Linked DNA regions of Neodiprion lecontei. The protein of the gene in region 1 purifies or fractionates together with the protein of each later gene. This does not show direct contact. Links are inferred from orthologs where the notes say so. Each region holds a gene or a part of one and is shown on either strand. Other genes may lie near its edges.

Region 1 (8,502 bases):
CTCGCTAGATGTGTATGACGGTTGTTGCTGTGTGTGTGTATTACGTTTGGTATACAAGTTTATGCGAAGTATGAAGGACTACAATTTTTACGCCACTATGTGGACCATTCGTTTTGTTCTTATTCTTTTTTTCTTGGCAAATCTGTTCATAAATATTTCTACAGATAAATGTGGAGTGGATGAACGTCTGAACTAACAAATAATTTCCCGTAAATCAATATCATTGATAAACATATTCTAATGGTATGCCAACAGAACTTTCACAAGACTTCGCGAATGATGTTAATTCTGATTGTTTATTACAAATTAAATGCTGTTTTTGGATTGTCGACAACTGTTTTTCAACGATTAGACCTAATTTCGATCATACTTTAGTGAATAGCGTTTGATGCGTTAGATTAAAGGAAATGACGCAACAAAGACGATAATTCAAAGATATTATCCGTGTATGTATCTGTATCTGATCGACTTAAAGCATACGTCAAAATATACGTTATAATTAAGAAATATTTCATGACTATTTCATATCGTTCTTCCAATCTTGACCTAAAATGATATAATATAAAAATAACTCTTTATTGTGGTCACTGAGCATTCCCTTTGTTTTCAATCGTTTCATCAAATAATTTGCGGTCTAATGAATCATATTTTACGCTCGAAAATTCTTCAGTAAATTAATAACTGTTAAATTAGTATACAAGCAGTACGCCGCGAGGATCAATTGTTGATAAATATGCAACGAAACGAAAAAACTAAATATCACTTCTAAAATGTTCGATGCTACGAGTTTTTTTACTGTATGTACGGGATGCGAATCATCGGTCATCCATGTCGCAGCGAACGTAAAATTTCAGACAGATAATTATGCATGGTTTATCAGATTACAAATATTAAAAATTAATTGTCTGATACTCACTTATTGTTATCTGAACTCTGATGGAATGTTAGACCGTAAGCAATTTGATGAGAAAAAGTATTATACACAATTTGTTAACATAGCAACATAAATGTTATGGTATAGTGTTCTACTAAGAATGATATACTTAGTTCTGTTTCTACAACTATTTAGTTGAAGTTAGAAAAATCTGTTTTTAATTTAATTGAAGGGGCAGTGTTGAGTTTAATTGCTTGTTTCACTGGCTCCGATAATCTTGATTGCTTTTGAACCTGCTGCTGGTGGCTGGATTTCACCGCGTTTTCGAGCTTTGTTTTCAACTCTGTAGATTGTGCCATCAACGTCTTAAATTCCTGCACAATATGCAATATTTTATGTGGACTATGCAATATTCGTACAATTCATTGCAGAAAAATTATAAGTATCAAACCTGAGGGTACTTTGGTCCTATTTTATTCAGCCATTGAAAACTCTGTTGATGGAGAGTGATTTGGAATTTGGATCCATGGCGCAAGGCATCACCTTCCAGTAGATAATTTATCAGAATAGGCACCAACAGAGTAAGCATTTGAATACCTGAAAATTGAAAAAAGTTCCCAATTATATTTTTTTTTATCCAATGACATGATACCATGTAGTTGGTTGGTGTGGATATTATTGAAAATAACTGATAGAACGAACACCCTGGAAATCGTCACCTACCTTGCATAAGATCTCCTGGTTTGCATGCAAAATTTAATTTATCAATACAAAGAACCATAATTGTGAAAGCAGTTACAATTTATTATCTACTCACGATTAGCAGGTTCAGCTAATGATATGAGTGCTTCAATCGTTGCTATGCTTTCTAATGTAAGAGTTAGCTGAGTTTCGTTTGATACTTGTTTGCTCGATTCACTGTACAGATATTCCACCAACCTTGGTGCGAGAGCGTGGATGTAGGGAGTACTGACACTGCGTTCATAGTGCATGAAGATTGTTCTCAATGTTTGTATGCACTTTAATTTAACCTTTAAGAAAGATACATTTTCTCATTCAATGATAAGGTACTAGGACGACCGGGCAAGAACGAAAGTTCGTACTCACCAGAGTATTTTCTGATTGAAGACACTGCCGAAAATGATTGATGCAAGGGTACTGTAAGTTCGGCGCACTCACAACCTCAGGGGATGCGTGGAGGACAAACACTGCAATCCCTAACATCATCGCAACTTCATCCATTTTCGTTTCATCACAACCTGCAATCCAATCATTATGAATGTACGTCGTAATGAGGTACGTACATGCAGTAACGATGATTTTAGATTTAATATGGCTTACCTGTTTTTGCAAGATCGACTATTTTAGCAAGAGCACTCTGAAGCAAAGTTTTCCACTGTTGTTCACTTCTTGCATCAGTTGCGTATTTATTGGTCATAAGACTCTTGAGACAATGCAGAGCCCCGTGCACAGGTGCTCCAGGTCCGACCCCAGAATTATCGTTATCTGTGCGAATCGCAGTCTCTCTAATTACCCCAGTTGTTAAATATAACAACGTGGGTAGAATCGCAATGGCACCTGTGAGACAATGCAGTTTAAGTATTCATCGCGTACATGTAAAACTTAAAATAAACCGAACTAAAGCTTGATAGCAAAATATGCACCTTATCAGCATGATTTAAAATATGTTCTTACGAACAAGTATTAACTTAACGTGATTGTTGAGAATTCTTTTTATTATAAATTATCGATGATATACATCGACACATCAAGTAATTTCAGGACCAACCTTGTGGAGAACAAAGCCTTGGAAGACCTTCCATCACATTCAGAGTGGCAGCAATGAGCCTGCCACATTCCTCCGATGCTGTATATCCCCGATGAGACAACACCGTTGTCGCACCACCTGGACTGGGATTCAACGCTGGTATTTGTCGTACGAGTAAGCACAAGCAAACTTCTAGTACAGCAAAAACTAAAGATTGTCCTGGAATAAGGTCACCAGTTTCCTGCCCTTCCCCCAGTTCATCGACCTCTGTGGTGTCTTTAGACTCTTGATTTGCAGGAACAAGTTCTGAAAGTGAACGAATTCTATGCGTTAGTAATAAAATAAATAATGTATTGAATCATTGATAAAAACGAGTTTCATGAACAACCTTTGAGTTTCGATTTTTTCCGATCTGCAAGGTCTTCTTGAGCAGCACGCATTACTTGTTTCAGTACTTCCATTACCATCATTTGAATGGTATAGCTTTCTCGCGTCAGTAGCAACCTGTATAGTTAGAATAAGATGAATAAAATTTTGTTGACCAGCGAAAGGCAACGTAGGATAATGAAAAATGAAATTAAAAATTGTTGATACATCGAATAAAATTAGCAATTTTCAGATTTTGTATTGGCTCTGTAACTTACCTGTGAAGAACATTGCAAAGCTCAATAGGAAGGGACCGATCAACCATAAGTACGTTGCGTGCCCATATAGAATCAAGTAAGGTGTAGAGAGCACTCAGACATGTCTCTACACTTTGGGTAGACTCCGAAGATCGAGGACTGCACAAAGCTTCCATGCATATACCTTGAAGCGAAATATGGAAGAATGTTCAATGCAATAATTTGTAAAATGAGATTTTTCATTGTGAGGTATGCAGAAAAAATCTTACCAAACAATAAATGGAATCGTTCGACATTAGATTCTGTATTGGTAGAGTCATTATTATTATTACGGCCAAGTTTATTCTTCGTATTAGTATCGACATTGGCAGGTTCTGGAGATTCGAAGCCTCTAGCATTCAGCCACAGTGTTGCTGCATGAAGTATTGGAGCCCAAGACTCAAGGTAATACGGACGAGCTGATTCCATTGTATCAGTTGTGTAAAAAGCTCCTCCATCGTGAGGAAGCTGACTTGAAAATTCTGAAACAATTAAGTTGCACCCTTGGTATCTTCTACTTTTTCTTTTTTCTGCATCAAAAGACTCTATAATCCACTTTTGAAAATAAAATGAAAAAGGAAACCTGAATGTATTCAATATTCAATCATCGGTTGAAAACTACAATACCGTCAGAGTCTGACGTACAGCCTGAGTGATTGACTTGGTCTCATTGTTAGCCACGGCGCTACGATCTGGAGCCGTATGAGCCAAGTTTTGTATTTTGCAAATGGCGGACACAGTAATCAATAGTACGTTTACGTGTGAAGTAGTACAGAGTACATTCGAGTGCACATTAGTGAAGAAAAAAATAGGATGGAAACAATTTTAGAGCAACAGCGTCGCTATCATGAAGAACGGGAGCGTCTCATGGACGCAATGGTCAAAGAAATGTTGCACAAGAAGCCGGGACATAGAGAAACGATAAATTCAGAACATCGGCTGAAAATGCTATTAGACCAACACATGGACAGCACAGCGCATTTGCAGGATCTCTACGAGGATAACGATGGCCAACGAAAGGACGAGGTCCAGGCTTTGTCGGGACCGAACGAGTTCTCCGAATTTTATTCGCGACTCAAGTCCATCAAGGAATTCTATCGGCGGCATCCGAACGAGATAAGCGTCCCGATGTCGGTAGAGTTCGAGGAGTTGGCTAAAATGCGAGAAAATCCAACAGAGGAACTCGCAAATCTCGTCGAATTTACCGACGAAGAGGGCTACGGGAAATACCTCGATCTTCACGAGTGCTACGAAAAGTATATAAACCTGAAAGGTATTGAAAAGGTCGATTACATAACCTATCTGTCGACTTTCGATCATTTATTTGACATTCCAAGAGAGCGTAAGAACGCAGAATATCGCAGATACGTCGAGGCGCTCCTGGAGTACTTGACCGAATATCTGACTAGGGTTCGTCCGCTCCTTGATCTCAATGCTGAAATCGAAACAGCCAATAGAGAATTCGTGGTACACTGGGAAAACAGCAGCTTTCCAGGGTGGCCAAAGGAGACCGGAAGTGCTCTAACTAACGTTGGGGCGCACTTAGAGCTCTCCGCCTTTTCCTCTTGGGAAGAACTCGCCTCGCTAGGTCTGGACAGATTAAAATCAGCCTTACTGGCGCTGGGTCTTAAGTGCGGTGGAACTTTGGAAGAGAGAGCGCAGAGGTTGTTTAGCACTAAGGGACAAGCCTCTCTAGATCCGAGTCTGCTGACCAAAAACAAACCGGGAAAACCAGGCAAAGGAAGAGACGTGGAAAAGCAGAAGGAGATCGCAATGCTCGAGGCTCAGGTGTATAGGCTTGCCGAGCTGGTATCTAGTCAGCGTGTCGCCACTAAAGAAAATGTTCAAAGAAAACAGGCGAGAACGGAGGGTGAGAGAGGTGATTCTGATGCAGATGCTAGTGCCAGCGAGTCGGAAGAAGAAGATGACAACGAAGTTCCGTATAATCCGAAAAATCTACCCCTCGGTTGGGATGGCAAGCCTATACCATACTGGTTGTACAAACTTCACGGTCTCAACATCAGCTACAATTGCGAAATTTGCGGAAACTTTACGTACAAGGGACCCAAAGCCTTCCAAAGGCATTTTGCAGAGTGGAGACACGCTCACGGTATGAGATGTTTGGGGATACCAAATACAGCGCATTTTGCCAACGTCACACAGATCGAGGACGCTCTAGCTCTGTGGGAAAAGCTCAAAGCACAAAAACAGTCGGAACGTTGGCAGCCGGAACAAGAAGAGGAGTTTGAAGACTCTCTAGGAAATGTTGTGAATCGGAAAACTTACGAGGATTTGAAACGCCAGGGTCTACTTTGAATTTGAACGCAATTAATGTAATAATTTGTACAGCATGTATCGCGCAGGCTTCATTTGTTTCATTCCATATTCTTGTATGCATGATTCTGTTATACTAATCAAACACATGTTTAAACACGAAGCTAAAGAAGAGATTCGTGTCTAGAATTAATAATTTTATAAATTCTAATGTGTATTTAAATATATTATCCTCAAACGAACGAGGTATAATATAGATTAAATATTATGCTGTAACAAATTCAACTACATATTCACCAATTCTCAAATGGATTTTGTGACCATATTTGTAAGAAAAGATGAACTATAAAGGACCTAATAAAAATGTATTTATAAATGAAATTCCGCAAATATCTAGCAGTTGTATTTCCAAAATTCATTTTTTATATGAGTGGGATAACTTACCAGGTGGTAGGGAGAGTAATGCATGATCGCGCAGGGCAGCTAACCAATGTTGACTCAGACTTAATAACTCTGGCTGAACTAAACTGAGTAAACTTTCATTCTGGAACTCAAATTCGCCAAAGCCTTCTTCTTCGTTTGCGGCAGTTGTATGAGCCTTATTTCTTGATGACGTCTCTACATTTCCAGGTGCTGAACCATCATTAATCATTGCCACCACATACACCTACAACATTGAATCAGAACACACGCGATGAATTTCTCACATGGCTTATTGCAATTATTGAATGATGTGGTGAATCATCTGTAACATGGAATTACGTATTTACCTCAGCCCAAGCCTTTAATATGGCCAGTTTTTCTAACGTAGAAAGGCTTTCATTGTATAATTGTTGATGAGAATGTCCGCCTCTTAATTTTTCCAACGACGATACAAGCAGTTGATGTACTCGGCGTAAATCATTGAGATCCCTTGCAACACCACTACCAATCCATGCGCTACAAGCTTCACAAGCTGCAGCGGTGACGTGAGATGCTGTTTCTGTAGAAAACGCTGGTCTCAAGGCAGCACCAACCTTTGTGATAAGATTATCGTTATTTGATCATGGGAATATAGACTGAGTAGTTTTTCGTGTTTTAAATTTTAGCAAAATAATCACCTGTGCTTGGAATTGTTCCAGAAGTAAGTGTCCAGGAAATTCTGGTTCCGGAACTTTGGCAAATTTATCAATTATTTCTTGTAAGGTCTTGAGACCTTCTAATCGCAAAGGATCACAATCACTGGTCGCAGCCATAAACGCCATACGCACTAGATCTGATAAGTGTAGTACTAGAAAATCTCCTGAAAGGTGAAAATTAAATTGTCAAATCACAAAATATGGGCCATAAGTATCCCAATCATTTTGATTGTGAAAGAAGAACAGGAAAGAAAAATCCAGGCGTGGTACATACCTCTTCCTCTGGTGAGCTGCATTTCCTTAGCTAAGGCCAGATCAAAGTGTGCCTGCTTGTTGACAAGACAAGCAGTGATAATCCGTCGTACACTCTGAGCAGCGAAAACTCTGGTCGGCCAACGTGGTGAGACAGCTGGACGTTGCCGTGTTGACTCTTCTGCGTGAAATTCGGCCTGATCATCATCACCTTCTGCTTCACCACCTTCATCATCCGCTGTACTATCTTCAGTTAGAACAGCAGTGACTTCTTCTGTTGTCGTACTCGACTCTAAAAATATGTTTCGTTACGTACATCTCTGAACACTATTTATTTCATTACTAATTTCCATGAGCTCGCTAATTGTAACAAGGAGTCGAAAATCATCACTCCTTACCTGAAGCTACCGTTAAAACATCTTTGCAAAGGGATAACCACTGTGATAGGTTGTCAGCAGCAAGCATTTGAAGCATACTGGTAAGAGTATCGTGGATATCTTTTATTAGTCGGCTGTCCGTTTCTGTATCTAGCATGCTGAATAAAACTCCTGGAAGACCTGTCTCCGTGATAACAAGACCCTCGACGATGTTCGTATCTCTGCTTTCATTGGCTAATGTCATCGCATGTTCACATACTTCTTTCGCCTCCCGTTGAGCAAGCTGACGAAGGCAAGATATTGCCGCTTTGCGAAGTAGAAGATGATTGCTTGACAAAGTGCGCTGCAATTAATGATTATCGATAAAATTGCTGATTTGTGACAAATTGATAGGTTTCCAAGTAACAACTTACACACAATGTGGGAACCAATGAGGACAAATTAACATGTCGTGGCGCAAATAGATGTAATTGTTGTAAACACCCTGTAGCTTCAGCTTGAACAAGCGGGTCCTGATGATCTTGCATTATTGCACAAGCGCATAAAAAGGATGACCGTGCCATACATATGGTCGATGTATTGCCTGTGAAATTGCAGTAGAGATGTGAGTTTGATTTAACTTATTTTCGTCGAGACTTAGCGAGTAGGCTAATATAGATGATACGAAAGACATACCTTGCAATTCTGGTCCAATGGTGGTAATAAGTGCAGACAGAACTTTGCCAATACATTGATGAACGTCAATGTAGGAATGTGGAACGTTGAGGAGGAGAGTTAATGCTAATGACAGCGTCGGTTCGACATAGCCTCGGAACATCGGGCCTCCAGAGTCGGCAATAAGTGCTAGCGCATGCAATGCCCAAACCTAAGTCGAAAGATGACGTTCTTAGAAATAGCTTGATGTGCAACCGGCAGCAGGTTTATTAGATGAAAAACGTACCTGTACAACAGGAGATGTATTGTCTTGGGCGAGAGCAAGCAGAATGCTGACACTTGTGTTCAAATGTTGACTAGAACCCATTCCTCCGACATATCTGTGCAGGCAACCAAGTGCCAGCGAATGACCCGTCCTACTAGCCACATCACGAGCCGATTTAAGTCGATCGAAACTGGTCTGTGCCAACTCTGCGGTGAATTTGGAGTCTGAAACAACTTGTGCCATTCGCCCGACTGCCTC
Region 2 (8,185 bases), on another chromosome or scaffold:
ATTTGGTCGGAAGTGAAAAAAAAAATTATTTACACTTCCCCCACGCTGCGACTACAGTAATTTGTATGTAAATATACACAGACTTGCTATAATCAATTAATATTGAAGCAATATTATAGAATAAGTGATAAGAATACAGACCTACTTTTGAGCCAATAAATACTGGACTATAAGGAAAAACACACACATAATAATGTCCTATAAATGACACGGGTGAATTGATATAATTATTCAGTATCAAGCAATAATGGAGTAACGAGGATGAGATGGAAAAAAAAAATACTAAAAATTGAAAAACCGTATCCAATAAATGTTTCACGTATGTCGATACCTCGCAATAGTAAAGATATGAACAAACTCAATGTAACAACATTTCACAAAAATGCAACACATGTACAAAGAGGCAGAAAACAAATAACCAAAAAACAAAAAAAAAAAAAAAAAGAAAGAAAAACGATTTACAATATTGCCTAAATACAATGATCAAAATAATTATCGAATTTCATGTACAACATACATGCTATGAAACAATCAATTGAAAACTGATCACAATAATCGAAGATATGTTTAAAAAAAAGATTATGTAGCTTAGGAATTGACACGAATTTTGTAATGCATAATTTCAGACTAAAGAATTAATTTCGAGAGAATGAATTCTGTTTTGGAATAAATTTTGGTAGGAACCTATGGCCCTCCCGCCCCGTCCAGACGTTATGCTTACACAATGAGATTGATGTCGATGTTATAATACGAAATAATAGCATTTCAATGTAGAAAAGTCCTGTAATTATAATTTTATCGTCTTTTATTAATTGTTGTAGAAACAATTACTAATGGTGCTGGTGTAGAAAAAACCCCATCAAGTAAACATAAAAATGTATCGCTTGGCGTTAAAATATGTAGATTATTAAAATTAGTTCGCTTGTAAGATTATTTTTCTTTTTTTTTTTCTTCATCGCAATCGTCCAATAGCGTGAATTTTCTTTTTTCCTTTCTAATAAGTTTAATACTCTTAATATGAGGGATATTGAATTAAATTAACACTTGGCCAATTTCACGGTCAGTTTAATAAGAACTAAATATAAATGTTAGGATCCTAAAAAATATTGGATTTTAGAATCTCATATTTGTCATTAGCGTAAAGTTTATATGTAAACAAGTACAGACGTAGGGTAATATTGCTTACGTCTTACTGTCCTCAGAAGTAAAATTCAATAGCTGCAATGATGTTTAAATACAGAGAAAAGATTTCAAGTATTTGCTCTTTACGATTAATCAAATTTTTTGATAAGTATATCGTATGACCAATCGAATGGCTTTGTGTATTGCTAAGAATTAGCTTACGCGGCACCCATCGATCTTTAACATGTAGAATAGTGAATTTGTGAATAGTAAAAAGAGCGATTATTACAATGATAATAACCGATGATCACGTCGGTTGTTAATCATAAATTACAGCTGAGAAGTACAATACTGAAAACTAACCATCTCATGCATGTTAGCGATGATAGATTAATTGATTAGTGTTTAAAGTAAAGAAAAATATATATATAGGTATATATGTATACCAAAAAAGAGAAAAAAAAATAGTCGATCAAAGTTATATCGAATTTTCAGTAGGTTATGAATTGCAAGTAGTTGGTCTATCACTCGTGGTTTATCATTGTAAAAACTTTAATTCTCTTCTCTAATAATTTTACTGACAATACCGTCTACTAGAAAATGACTTGATAAGAAATAACTAATGCAGCTCAACAGTATTGAATATTGGCCAAATAGGGTAATATTTTACCAAATAAGTTTGTGCCCAAGTTAAAGTGAATTGAATCAACGATATGAAATGAATTTCAACAGCTTTATTATTAAACTTACATATTTCCCTAAGTATAAGGGTAGAAATAATCGGTATTGGTTTCAAAGTTTCGATTGATATTTATCGAACAAAGATTAGAATAAAAGTGTTCATATTCTCAGTTAAATAGCCTGACGAATACAAATATAATACGACACATATGACTTTCAACAATGTTAGTAAAACTGTTAGAAAATGTTTAATAATTGGTACAGGTAACTGAAATTGTTACTAAATAAACTATTGGATTGTAATAGTCATACGCTAAGTCAGACACTGTAGCAGAAGAGTAATGCAAGTGGAATCGCCTAGAGAATTGAAAATTTGAATATTTTATGCAGTCTTTTTAAACAGTTATGTATTTCTAAAAAACATGGCTTTTTGCAAATGTAAGTACAGTCTTTTGGAAAAACCTCTTTGCAGAAGTTCTCTCATATATAATACTTGTGAAACGGTGAAAGACAAGTTTTTCTTTAGCAAAAATCGTGCCCTCAAAATTGCGTGCCAAAATGTAACGTCTGTGTTAATAAAGATTGTTTGATCTGCGTGCATTATTCTTCTAACACTATTTCTTTAGATATGTGGTTTTAAACGTATTCAAAAACTTTAAAGTACGTTGTGTGCAAATATAACGTAAAAGGACGAAAACAAATTGTAAAAAAAATTAGGAAAACATAATTCATTCGTAGAATAATGTTGATGACAAATGAATAGAGCTATATTTAAATAAAAATCAAATATAACTTTTCACGATCAACTTTCATTTTCCAATTATCCCTTGTCTAAATCCAAATCTCTGCAGGGGATCGACGGACAGGAAATGTAATTAGGAATCGGTCCAATGATTTTGCCTGTCGTTGCCTCGTCATAAATAAGAATAAAGACGAAATACAGATGTACGAATATAATTCAACCGTTTATTATAAAAACACAGAACGCAATGTTCCATCCTCATTCATTCTCATTTCACACATCATAACTTACAGATACCGAGATGTTGTAGTCTATACTTATACACATAATTACATCTATCGTCGTTTAAATCCATACTTTTTCCTTTCGTAGAATAGATCCGTTTTCGAACTTCCCAGGTTTACAATTTTCGGGCACCCGTCTCTCTGTCGTAAATATTTAAAGAATTAGCATTTTCAGCGTCGCCAATTTGAATCTATGATAACGATCTTACGTACATCTTTTTCTTGAATTGTACATTCTTTGCAGTAATATGCATCAGATACACCGGGTCCTCCGCAGATAACGCAACGGCCTTGGTAAGATCCGTAATTACATTCGTCACAAATTCGTACCAGTGTACAAGGCCTCACATACGAGTCGCAGATTACACATTTTCCATCACACTTTTCACATAATCGACCAATAGCTGGAGACGGAAAATTCAAATTGTTTGTAGAAAATTATTCACAGGTGAAGCCAGGTTGGCTAGGGTGATGTTAGGTTATGTCAACTTGTAGAATCGGCAGAATGAACCATGAAGTAATATTTTCAAGGTCGCAGTTTCGAAAACGATAATACCAGTAGCCATACGTGTTTCACGAGCTATTATTAGCAATGAAATAAGTCATAAAATCTCGAAACGAGCGGAGATAGTAATGATCAGCATTGCGATCAAGTCTTACGCTATTTTTCAAACAACTTACCAACGCCCGGCTGTTTCCTACAAAATATCAAATCTGGATGATGCTTAGCCATGCTTTGGAATGATTAGCGTCCTTCGGATACCTCAGAATACTTAAATTATTTTGTCAATATCAACTTGCAACTTTTCAAAAAGGCCGACCTTACCGAAAACGGATGTATCGGTATCAAATTAATTTTCAACATCGGTACCTTCACCCGCCACTAGAGGGTACATTTTCAAACGCAAATACAAGGAATTTGAAATTTAAACTTGCTATGATTATTGAAATGAAAGATTAAACGAAACGTAGATGGAATTGAGACAAACGTTATATTCCCGTATTTCACACAAATAATCAAACTATCAGAGAGAGCGAGAGAGAGAGAACTGAAAGCACAAGTCTTCTATTTCGTTTATGCTCTCTCTCATTTAGACACATTCGGTAATCCACATCATGCGTTTCGAAATCAGCCCCCGGTGCTGTCAACTATCTTACGTCGTTTTTCGCTATAGAGTTCGTAGCTGGTTTTAGTCCTAGGGAGTTTTCAGCGCTGCCAGTTAGTTTTGGAACGCACTCATAAATTGTCATAGACTATTGACTGAAGACTGGACGGCTATGCTAACAAGATTTTGTGTACTTATGTGATTATGTGATAAAAGGCCTCCGCCGATAAAGAAGCTTCAGATCACTCCAATTCCACTTGCTGAGTATTGGTCACAAAAATTTATCCAAGGGTAACAGATTTAAATTCTTCAGTCAACGCAGACTCACTCACTCACCCCCTCGCACCCAAATTCAGAATATATTCGCTGATGGATCCGCAGTGACCAGTGACAATCAGATTAGAGGGAATAATTCAGACAGCTGCAATCCTCGGATGCACGAATTTACCAATCCAAGTACCAGAATTAGCTTCCTCGTAGCGCGTTCGCTGACTGCAGTTTGGCATTATTTGGCATGTTAGAGCACAGTGCGAAGTGTCGGTCGTGTGCGTATTTTTGGACATCGCGCGTATTTACGCGTACGTATTATGTACGTGAGAAAAAAGTAGTAAGGCTTCAACTCGGAGGGAAGGAATAGGGTGATATTCGACCGTAGTAAATTTTGTATCATTTCTCAATCCTGCCCTCTTTATTGCGCGAACGATTTCGGGGTGAATGACGGGTCGCAAGTCCCGTAATGGATAATTCTAATTGGGATGCAGGTGAGTCTTTAAATTATTTCGTTATTTCTACCCCTTGATAATTTGTTCTGGTTTCACGACATTGGCTGAAAATGTGTTGAAGAATTGAATATTTTCACCACGGTATGCAATTTTCATGTAAAGAATCACCGAAAGTCAATGAAAAATATCTGCGCTACATTAGTCAGTTTTATTTGTATATAGATTTTTAATTGAAATTCTCTCGTAAGTAATTGTCTCAATTGGGTAGGACTTTTCAAATCAATTCTATTGACATTTTAAACCGTTCGTTCTAAACTAGAAGTAAGCAAAGCTGTGAAATCTTGTTGATCTTTCAAGCTGGACAGGTTCTCGAGTCCTTACATCAAACTTGTAAATAGACAATAACTATTTATAGAATAGTCTTGAAGCTCGGTTATACACAGTTTTTATGCTTATCTCCTATTTCTATTTCTCTGTACAGGTACTCATGCTGTATGGTATTAAATTTTAGGTTTTTCATTTCATTTTCAGCCTTATCAAAGCTTCTCAATTCACTGGAAGATAATAAGACTGAACTCCCAAGTTGCAGCGAGGAGGAGCTTAATTTTCTCAGTGAAATATTAAAGTCGAAGGAGCTTAACGCGTTGGTTAACGTTCACAACAAGATCATAAATCTCTCCAATGATGACAAATTCTTTCCTGTATTATCAAACTCCATGGACGTCAACATCGACGTTTTGGATGTACTTGTGCCAAAAACACGTGGATCCGCAGATTGCAAGCAACTATTTCTTTTATTACAGAACCGTCATATGCAGGTAAGAGAAGGAAATCAATGAAATTAAAAAATACAAGGAGAAATTTCAAATGAAAAATCTTTTCATTCTGCAATAATAATTTAATTTAGGGAGGAAAGAGATGATAGCAATTCAATTTCGATATATATCCTTCTTTTACAAATATCAAGTATCATGCTTGGAACAATTAAACGAACTTTCACGGATGAAACAAACTTATTCACGGCACTCATTTCGAACAAGCGACAAAAAGAAAAAAAGTTAAATCCATTCACACCCTTGGATTTTCAGGCTCTGCTATGCACTCATGACGCAGTTGCGAAAAAGGAATACTACCCAAAAATTCCTGAACTACCCCTGGAAGTTGACGAAGATGATGAAATCATAAAAATTGTGGAGCTTATTAAGTCCAACGAGCCCTTGGTACGTCTTACCGATCACATCAAATTTTCTAGGATTAATTTGGTTTTAAGAGACAGCATAGAGGGACAACAAGATTACTAGAGTTACGGCGAAGCATTGGCTTTTTTCCCCTTCCCAAGATAAATAAGAATCATCGAAAGGCCAATTGTATTAACGAATTTCTTTTATAATTGACAAACTTGCTTTGAAGTGCGGTCCTGGTGTTGAACCAATTGTGGTAAGTTTCTCATCGGGCTTTGAAGATTGGTTACTTTCATTGGCAAAACGTGAAAGAAAAAAAAAAAAAAAAGCAAAGAACAATAATGATGAAGAATCACATCCTTTCTCTCTATGCATTGAAATATGAATTAGCCAACTTTCCTATTTCCCTACTAAATTCGATTCCCGACCATTTTGGTGCCAAGTATCATTAGTTACCCCCAATAGTTATACCATAACCGAGCAAAGTTGAACCCTGTAAAGATTGTTTAAAAAATATTGCACGGTCACTAAATACTCGCGCTTCAACCGATGAGTCAAGTTCTCTGATTCCGCTATGCTGTGCTATAAACTGCACTGTCGACAGAAATAGTAGCTGTCTACTACATAATGCTCTTGTTCCCGAGCACATGATTGAGTTTCATGATTTGTTTTTTTATTGTTTTTGTCTACACTTTCTGCTCAAATGCTATGCTTGAATATTAAGACAGAAAAGCATAATCGATCAAAAAAACCATAACTACGGTAACCAAATTCAACTTCTGACGAAATAAACCTATATATCAGTTCCCATTTACTAACAGGGAGCAACGATAAAGACTTGCGAAGGAACCGACAAGATAGTCTTCGCGCGAATTCTTCTAGGTGGCCCGGCAGACAGATCTGGGGCTATTCATGTCGGCGACGAGGTTCTTGAGGTGAACGGTATCAGCGTTGAAGGAAAGACACCGGCTTGTGTACTGAAAATTCTCGTAAGCAGATTTTTACTCCATTGAAAATCGTTTTTTGGTGAAAAAGTGCATTATTCACCATTTTGATATGATGTTTTAGGACGATTTTGAGGGCACAGTAACATTCAAACTTATTCCAGCGAGTAGCAGGTGCGGCGTCAGAGAAAGCAAGGTAACATCGAGAAACCTTGTAAAATTATAATTACAATAGGTATGTTTGAAAAAAGGATGAAACTTCCTAACAACCACTTTCACAGGTTCGTGTTCAGGCACATTTTTCGTACACTGCCGCGGACGATCCTTACATACCTTGCAAAGAAGCAGGATTAGATTTTGTCAAAGGGGATATACTTCACATCGTAAGTCAGGATGATTCTCACTGGTTAGTATCGTTTCAAGCGGGGATAAAAACGCTGAACTAAACTTTATTCAGTAATTTCTTGTGAAATTAATATCAAGCGATCTTCCTAGCTTGATTTGAACGTCAAAACATTTTATTGTTTCAAAGGTGGCAGGCGCGACGTGAAGGCGATCGAAATATGAGAGCTGGCCTCATTCCGAGCCGAGCCCTTCAGGAGCGAAACATCGTCTTAGAGCGACAGCTCAAGGAAAAGAGCGATGAATCTGACCATATAAGTATGTAGTACACGTTGCTATTTCATTTTTAACTTTGTAGAGTATCACAGGTTCGATACAGACAAAAACAAATCAATCCTCCTTATCTCCTGCCTCTCTAATTCGATCGATGAAACTTTGGGCTGCTTTTGTTGATAATTAACCGCCACGCACTCCTAACTATCGGTTAGGCCTGTGTTCTGTTCCAGTGGCTTTGCCTGCCCTGTGTCCCCGTCCCCAGACCTCTTCGCTCGTCTTGCCCACAAAGTGCAACTTGCAGGGTCCTAAGACTAAAAAAATCATGTATGACGTGGCAGAGAATGACGACTTTGACCGCGAGGAGATACCGACTTACGAGGAGGTTGCCAAACTCTATCCAAGGCCCGGATTCTACAGACCTGTCGTCCTTGTTGGACCTCCTGGGGTCGGCAGAAACGAGCTCAAACGGAGACTGGTCGCCACCAATCCAGAAAAATATAAGACTCCAATTCCGTGTGAGTTTTGAAATGAATACAAATTCTAATCCCGATATGGGAGAGCTCTCAGAGATTAGAAAAAAACTAAAATAACCAAGTCACTCGCTGTCCGACAATTTTTATAAATTTTCTTTTCTCCGTAAATTAGATACTTCAAGATCGCCAAAACCTGGGGAGGTGAACGGCAAAGACTACTTCTTTGTATCGCATGAAAACATGAAGGCAGACATAGACTCTGGGAAGTTTATAGAGTACGGTGAATACAAAGGAAATCTTTACGGCACAAGC
Region 3 (8,368 bases), on another chromosome or scaffold:
CATTTCAATAGGCATTCAAGCAGACTCAAACTTGATACAAAACTGAGTTAATCAAAGTATGGAGCGAGTGTTTGTATTGGTGAATTAAATATATGATATATTATCACGCCAATCGTACTATTAGATTGCATCAACAAGGGTGATATCGATTATCGGTAGATATCGAAATCGACGCCGCCATATTGGTTTCGAAATAAACCCTTGCGTACGCAATGAGTTTGCGAAACCATAAGGTTTCGATTAAACATGCGACGCAAGATTAACTAATACAAGCTCAGCCGTATTAAATATGAGAAGCTAACTTTATCTCTGTGTAAAATTAATTAAATAAACAATCCCGTCATTCCAAGTTTGCGTATGTGACCGCTTTGTCTATCGCAGTAGAAAGTGTTTCTTTTATTATTATTTAAAATGGGACTCGGAAGCTTTCGATACCGTCTAATAATATTACTTTGCACTGCTCTCGTTTTGTACCAGTCAGCCAAATATTGGCCGTCTCTCCAATTCAGCGATGATCCTTCCCAGGTAAGCACTACTGGAACATAACCTTACCTATTCGAACCGAGCATAAACTAGGGTTCATGCAAAGCAACGCTTGGCAATTCGAGCCCCAATTTTAGTATTGAACATAGTTAAATGGTTAAACCACCACCAGCCAACTTTCTCAGATGAGGTTTTTTACCTCTTGTTGATTTTAGTGAATCTTGAAATCATAGTTAAAGATTTTGTTTTGCTTAAACCTGCTTGAACACGCATTAAGTCTTCTGCAGCAAAATCACTGGCGGCCCAAGAGCTAGTCGAAGGAATAGATATAGCCGAGCCGCCAAAGACGGATGTACAGAAGGTGCTGGTCTCCGTGTATTATGAAGCCCTTTGTCCAGATTCAAAATTTTTTGTAGTCAAACAGCTATTGCCAACATTTCAAAAGATAAAGGAGAACCTGCAGGTAGAACTCATACCATATGGCAAAGCCAAGGTAAGTCGGGCTATTCTGCTTATCCCCATATGTTAGAATTCAATCTTTTGATTATTCAAGTTTTAATTCTTTCCTCTTTCAGACAGTCGAAACTCCCACTGGGTACGAATTTACGTGCCAACATGGGCCACTCGAGTGTGAGGCAAATATCATACATGCCTGTGTTATTGATCTAGTCAATGATCAGTTAATACAGCTCGATTATATTTCTTGCATGATCCAAGACAACATGCAACCTGAACGAGTTATGCATCAATGTGCTGCCAAGGTTAACCTAGATGTCACACCTATAGAGAAATGTTATAAGGGGACAAAAGGGAAAGAGCTATTGGCCAAGTTTGGGGAAATGACAGATGACTTGTCTCCCAAAGTGGTATTCATACCCACTATTACGCTCGACAAGGTAAGATAAGTATCTTAGAAATAGTTTTTATCTAAGATTATGCAATCTAAGAATTATTAAATTTCATGCATAATCTTTGTTGATATCGGTGTCAGTACAATTTCCTGATCATCCTTTATCTGTCATCCATCTTGTATATTTTTTTTCAAGGACTCGAGTAATCAGGCAGCCATTCTAAAAAATCTACTTAAAGAAGTGTGTTCACGACTGAATAGTCCACCTCTAGGTTGTGCATAGCATCTCATTGATGTTATCGAAGCTATGGCTGTAACAGCATAATTCTATATTTCAAACGATCTGTTCCTACATATCACGACGCTCACCAACGAAAACTGTGCTTGAATTACCCCAGTTACAGGGAAGTATATCAAATACATTATTTTACAAACAATTATTAACTGCGATTATGTATGAAGAATAAAAGCGTTACAATATGTTTGAACTAACTAACTTCTGATCAACTGCATTTTATAATTTGGATTTGCATTCCAAAACTAAATACAATGATTATCACCCCATTAAAGAAATCTGTAGTAATGAAAATGCCTATATACACATCATGTTTAGGGTATTTTTACTCACTAATCAATCTCACGGCCTTCGAATGTAGAGAAAATCATGAACGTCTGTATATTTCGTGATGAAATTACCCTGTATGAATTTAACATAATAGATAAGTAGAAACTCAAATCGAAATATTCGTGTATTTCGTATGATTCAAAATTACAATTGCCTATCAATCCAAACAACCAAAATTGGAAGTCTACGATAAGAAACCACGATTGCTAAAACCTACTGTTAAATGCAGTGCAATAATCATCAGCCGAATAAACAGGTAGCAATTACGATGAAAATGATTCAACTCAATTTTAATTGACAGTATTTTATTATTCACCAACGGCGCACATTTAAAAAAAATTCATGTATTTCAAGTTTAGTCCATCAATTGCAAGGTGTCCAATTTTTCACAGGAATAAAATCCAGCTCTAACTTGTCTTCCGCCAAAGAAGCGACCGTTTAAGTCTACTACAGCTTTGATCGCACTTTCTATCCTCTTAAACTCTACAAATATACGCACTGCCTCTTCAGCCGGGACGTCCATCACCTCGTGAATCATAACACGCGATACATCCCCATACTTTGTGTTACACTCGTCCTTGACTTCTGGCTCAAGATCTTCATCCACCTCACCTGGTCCAACCATATTTCGTAAGAGTACCACCTTTTGAAAAAAAAATTCACATGACTGATAATACTCATATACCCAGACTTAGTGGGAAACGTAAAAAGCAAAACGGGCATGGTGAAATTTCACAGCCAGTTGAACAAGGTTTGAGATTCGTATGCCTGTTTAAGATCATGTCATTTAACTAAAGAGAAACAAAATAGACCTGTACTAAAGGCAAATAATTTTGCGCAGACTTCTACGCATGGCACTACTATAATAACCTTGCTTGGTGATTTCATAATCTCTGTAATGCTTGGCTCCTCCTGAGGAACCACAGGTTGTGGAACAGGGGCGACAGGTAGTGGTGGCGAAGGTACCATGGGTGGTGGAGGAGGCATCAATTGTTCTCTTTCGCCAACTATCCTACCACCACGTTTGCTGGTTTTTTCTACTTGTAAAGCAACAGACATTCCCTGTTCCTTTTTACCAAGACCCTGGCCTTCTTTGAAGCCATATTTTGCCATGATCTTTGCAGCTACGGAGGAAGCACCGTAGCCAAGATTCGATGCCTGAGGTCGTGCTGGAGGTGGAGGAGGTGCTAGATCTGGTGCCTCTTGAAGGGATGGGGGAGGTGCTATAGCTGCGCCACCGCCCACTCCTCTCGAAGTTGGTGTTCTTTCCTCGTCTCTTTCTGGTGCGACCATTGTGTTGCTGCCAGGGGAAGTCTAAATTGGGATCATTTAATTATGTATATTGAAGAAAGCATGATTGTTGTTACATTCAATGGCTTGGAACAATCTGTACACAAACTGCTTAAATATGTTGGATATTCTTCATGATCTAAACTAGTATTCAGTTAAGACGACAATAGAGAAGAAAGAGCTTTCTAACTTTGACATATAAAATTGCCAGCCACAATATTGCTTATTTGAAACAAAAATCCAACGACTTAGCGATACCAGTAAAACAATGAAAATTGAAAAACTCGATTCCCATACCTGTGGATCTTCAAATCTGGTAGTGTCGCGTCTGCGTTTGCGTAATTCATTTTCCTGGTCGTGTTCTCTGTCCCGAATATCACGTAATTCCTTGACGACTTTTTCGTACTCGTTTGGCCACATTGGGTCATATTCATTTACTACGTTCCAATCAAACTCGCCTCCGACTCCGACATTATTTGTACCACTAAGGGTAAGAGAATTTCCTGTTTGTGAATCTTCGTCTTTCTCGCCATCGCGGTTAACCTTTGATTTCAAGTCAATCACAGGTGCCAAAACTGCCGCAGCTTTTCTGAACTGTTCTCTTTTTGGCTATAAAAAATTGTTCTTGATATTAGTCTTCAATTTAGAAGTAAATGCGAATGTTTTATTTTCATATTCCCGGCACGGAATAAATAAATCTTGAAACTGAAATGTTTTTTTGAAACGAAATTTTCGAAAGTTTTCGATAACGGTAAAACGTTTTGAATTATTGAATGTACTTACAAAGTAGCGGTTAAGTGAAATATTACCTGTGTAGTTGCCGCTTTTTTTAATTGCAGCTGGGACTGTAATAGTTTAATACCCGATGACCACCCTGCGACTTTTTCTGTTGTTCGGTGCTTATCAAAATCATCGTACAATGACATTTTTGTACTATTTCAACGTGGATGTTGTTGACATGTCAAATATAACCTTCAATCATTCAGTCTGCACTAGTCTGTAGCACGATTCACAGTTCTTGCAAGAACAACCATTGAATATAACTGAATGGAATCGTGCATATCGATGCGTTTACCAGCCCTTACCAGATAAAGCAAGTCGATAAATACAGGGCGCCACATATACTGATGACCGACTCTGCCGTATTTAGCATCATCTGAGCAGTGGATAAGGCAGGGCATATTTACCATAGCAGAGTGTCACAGTAGTGGTAACGAAACTGAACAAATCGCAAACATTATCACTTAGTATTTCTGCAGCAGGAAGAAATAATATACAATCTTTGTAAGCTCATAATTTAGTGTAAAATCTTATCTATCATCTACTAATACATCGACCTCGAAGGACTGAATCTAGGTAGCAATAACGATTCATTCCTTTGATAAAGTTAGGTACTTCTTTAACCAATATATTCATAAAATCGTTCCAAAAAGTAACTATCGCTCCGCAAAAATTACAACATCTACATTTACGAACACCACTGCTTACATATCAAATTATGTACAGATGCGTTATCGTTAACATTATCTTATTAGTTTCAATCCAAAGTTCGTACAGTGAGAAAAGACAAGGTTTGCCATTTCTTTCTCATTTATCGTTTATTTTTAGACACATCGTATTCGGCGAAAAGTTGTCAGAGAATTCATATTCACGCCTGACCACGATGTAAGTCTTTCTTGGATCGTGCGCCTGACGCAACTTGCTCCGGAAATTCAACAAATTCGGTCGCGTTGCGCGAAGTTCGCATGGCGCTTCCGGCCGATCAAGACTTGCTTCCGAAGGTTCCGAAGCTTCCGAGCAAAGAGGCTCTTTACATCTACCGCTTGCGTGATGGCAAGTATAGTAGAATACGAGTCGGTAACATGCAACTACGTCGAAATGTAGTTTCAAAAACCTAGTTTGTGTCGGATGACGCTTAAAAATGGAGGCCACACAAAACGCTAGAGTAGGCTCTCTCTATCAACTCTGTGGTCTGGGGTACCTTCGTGTGAATATCATCCGCCGGATGACGCTACGCTGCAATTGCTTGTACAGAATTTCAGGTAATTTTGTAGTCGTAATGTTGATAATGATCACCCCAAATTTTTAACGTTCAATTTGGAAAAGTGAAACCAACGCGCTATGCGATACTCGCTGAATGCATTAAATGTATCAAAATCTAATTGAACAAGTGCCTTTTTCTAGCCAGTCCGAAATAAGTAACGTACAGATCTCTAGTGTTTTGATTAAACCACAGGAATTTACTCTCCCACTTACGTTACTCTTGTCCTGTAATAACTACGTTCATACATGCATGGGAAGATACTTGGACATCGATATAATTATATTCTAACTTTGATCTCCCCTTCTTAATGGGGGGTCGTTTTTATACGCAAGCCCTATAGCTGATTACGGTTATAAAACTGTCGTAACATATTAAAACCAATGAAAGCATTTTTAACGAGAAAAACTACGACGACTAGTCGTTGGAACATGGGTCAACCATCTCATTAACTTATCATAGAACTAAGAGCCAGCTAAAACCTGTATTTCAAATTGCCAACGGGTTGCACGCGTACGTGACTCTGAAACAGTCACCAATGTGTACAGCCACTCAATAACTCCAGATCATGCGAAGTGAAAATTAAACTTTTATTTAAATCAAACTAAACCTCGCCTACTGTCTGTAAATTGACGATGAGATTTTTCTGGAGACAATCTGATTTTTAAAAGGGAGGAAGAAAACACAAAATAAAGAAAGCCTTAAAAAATTCTCGAACCATCAATTCATTGCATTTTTAAGACCATAATTTTATTACTCAGCAACATATAATACACATGATTGCAGATTATGCAGAAGATCATTTATTTTCCTTTGCCATTTCATTCTTCCGATAGTGGAAGGAATGACTGATAGCAACCAGAAGAGAATCGTGGGCAATGTAGGTACTTCCACGTTCAAGGTCGTATGTTTACTCTGATTTATCGTCGTACAAATACGTCGTAGGATTATCACTTATCATAGCCATATTGTTGCGTTATCGAGAACGTCTACCATTGTTCGCATATATACCTGTAAGATATACCGACATAGCTATATACATATATCTATATCCATACCATTACAACAAATTCACTTTATGATATACAGTTGTGGACACAGTATTCATTCAATAATACTCGACCGACAATGAGACGTCGTAAGATCCTTCGGTGAAAATAGTTTTCGTTTGGACACAAGTTCCCAAGCGCTGCCACGCTCGTATAGCTACAGCTGTTCCACGCACATGCAATTCGTTCGGCCGTTCCAAGTTTTTGCTGTTATCGCATTATGCGATCCGTGTGTATGGATCCTGAGCTGCACACGCGCTATGGCACCGGGAAGTGTCAGTGATGCCTGGTCCCTGTGGAAGTTGCGGTTGGGGGAGTAAGAGAAGGGGCGAACGAATCGATGAATGAACGAGTGCGCTCGTGTCAAAGGATATAACTGCAAACAATAAACATAATGATTGAAGTATCGAGGCTCGCCGGCTGCGAACAATTCAGGTACTCAAGTTTCGCTTCTACGATTTACGTAACGAGATACCGTTCCACGAAATGAAACGTCCGCACTATGCGAAGGCCTCGTCCATCCGTTTCAGACAAAACCAAAACCCGATGGGACCGCTGACGTAACGCGATTCAACGCCAGTGGTCCTCCTGCAACGTCCGTATTTCTTCGAACAGTATAAGGCGAATGAATGTATCTGCCCGTCGTAATATTTCTTCAAGGAAGTGTTGTAAATCCTTATATGCCCTGCAGTGCGTGCATATACACGTAAACAGGTATAACTCGCGAATAAAACTATCGCGCGACTCTATCCCCGAGCACGTATGGTATGCATATGCATGTGTAACGGTATTCGCGCAAGTGTACGAGTTTAGCGAGTAGTTTTCCGGCAACGAAGCGGAAGTCTCGTCTGTAAGTAAATGAGTCTCTGGAAGGGGTGAATCGGGAGCGAAAAATAAGTGGCAGCGGCGGCGTGCAGCTTGATAAATGCAAAGTTCGAACTTTCAGCTTCTGAAAGTAGTGGGTTGCGTAGCCATGTGTGTACGGGCTTCAAAGTTATTTATTAATAGCAAAGTTAACTCGGTGCGCACCGGCAGGGAGTGGCAACTGGCATCGGGTACCCGAGGAGGTCCGCGCGCTGAAGCGGGCATGACGCAGTGACGGGGGGCCACGACTGCCAGCGTCCCGCCCGAGTGCCGACGCCGACGCCGACGCCGCCGACTCTCTCCTGCCCACCGGGTGAGGCGCGCGGAGCCGAGCGGAGCGACGGACGCATGGACGGACGGACGGACGGACCGACCGACCGACGGACGAAAGGACGGACGCTTTGTCGGCGCCCGCGGCGGAGATCAAACGCGCCGACCTTACCCGCCTCCCTTCCCTCCCCCCTCTCAGATTCTATCCCTAACCGAGGAACCCCGCGCTGCGCCGAGCCGAGCCGGGCCGGATCGAGAGACGAGCAAAACCGAGGGCGAAGCTGCAGCTAGAGAGCGGTAAAAGCGTATTGCCGGTCTACCTGGACCGATCCTCATCGAGCCCTGCGTTCCTTCCATCTGTGGCGAATCGTAACCGCGATAGATACCGCTTGTCTTTATCGATTTAATTAGTACGGTTGTATTAAAAGCACGGGTGTGCGTATTATCTTGCGAGAAATACTCGCGGCCGCGCCGCGGCGATGATCCCGGTTATTAAAAAGCGCCCGCGTCGCCCGACACTGCAGCGCTGATCGTAAGGCGGAGGCTCGATCCGCTGCTCTCGGAACTCGATTCCAATCCTCGAGGCCTCTCGTAATGGGGATCCGGGTAAGCAACAGCCAGCTGTCGTCCCATACATCCGCGTACCCGTACCTTCTTCCTCGGCCCGTTGACGGCCCGCACCGCGATAAACACTCCGCGTTAGCCAGCTACGGGAAGTCTTACACCTTCAACTTCGCTGGATACATTCAGCTCGCCTACCTGAACTAATGTCGCATACCGTGCGTCGGCTCCGAACCGTCACGGCTAATCCGTGAGCTGGGAATATAAAGCCGAAGCGCGATTACACGATCGTGGCTAATTGGAGGTCTCCTCGTAGTAAAATCAAACGCTCAGGC

Evidence for each region. Proteins that work in one complex are often made in the same cells at the same time.
Region 2: the proteins of splicing factor 3A subunit 3 (region 1) and PHD finger-like domain-containing protein 5A purify together in Homo sapiens (affinity purification with mass spectrometry; 3 studies listed by BioGRID and IntAct, with this or other methods). This does not show direct contact. The link is inferred for Neodiprion lecontei from reciprocal best matches to the Homo sapiens genes SF3A3 and PHF5A.
Region 3: the proteins of splicing factor 3A subunit 3 (region 1) and splicing factor 45 purify together in Homo sapiens (affinity purification with mass spectrometry; 4 studies listed by BioGRID and IntAct, counting the BioPlex papers as one, with this or other methods). This does not show direct contact. The link is inferred for Neodiprion lecontei from reciprocal best matches to the Homo sapiens genes SF3A3 and RBM17.

What each region holds. Positions count from the first base shown.
Region 1 is NC_060263.1:30,614,700-30,623,201, forward strand, and holds splicing factor 3A subunit 3, read left to right. Parts: upstream 1-4,022; 5' UTR 4,023-4,117; coding exon 4,118-5,620; 3' UTR 5,621-5,959; downstream 5,960-8,502. Other genes in the region: HEAT repeat-containing protein 5B, read right to left, coding at 1,066-1,248, 1,326-1,471, 1,598-1,612, 1,692-1,905, 1,982-2,133, 2,216-2,452, 2,664-2,948, 3,031-3,146 and 10 more. UniProt on the Homo sapiens protein: Component of the 17S U2 SnRNP complex of the spliceosome, a large ribonucleoprotein complex that removes introns from transcribed pre-mRNAs.
Region 2 is NC_060261.1:2,317,758-2,325,942, reverse strand, and holds PHD finger-like domain-containing protein 5A, read right to left. Parts: upstream 3,810-8,185; 5' UTR 3,563-3,809; coding exon 3,511-3,562; intron 3,234-3,510; coding exon 3,043-3,233; intron 2,971-3,042; coding exon 2,881-2,970; 3' UTR 2,247-2,880; downstream 1-2,246. Other genes in the region: MAGUK p55 subfamily member 7, read left to right, coding at 4,672-4,696, 5,189-5,475, 5,746-5,877, 6,068-6,094, 6,660-6,827, 6,907-6,978, 7,064-7,188, 7,315-7,442 and 2 more.
Region 3 is NC_060260.1:29,029,195-29,037,562, reverse strand, and holds splicing factor 45, read right to left. Parts: upstream 4,319-8,368; 5' UTR 4,175-4,318; coding exon 4,058-4,174; intron 3,858-4,057; coding exon 3,546-3,857; intron 3,273-3,545; coding exon 2,829-3,272; intron 2,602-2,828; coding exon 2,314-2,601; 3' UTR 2,247-2,313; downstream 1-2,246. Other genes in the region: gamma-interferon-inducible lysosomal thiol reductase, read left to right, coding at 412-525, 761-976, 1,059-1,379, 1,530-1,616. UniProt on the Homo sapiens protein: Splice factor that binds to the single-stranded 3'AG at the exon/intron border and promotes its utilization in the second catalytic step. Involved in the regulation of alternative splicing and the utilization of cryptic splice sites.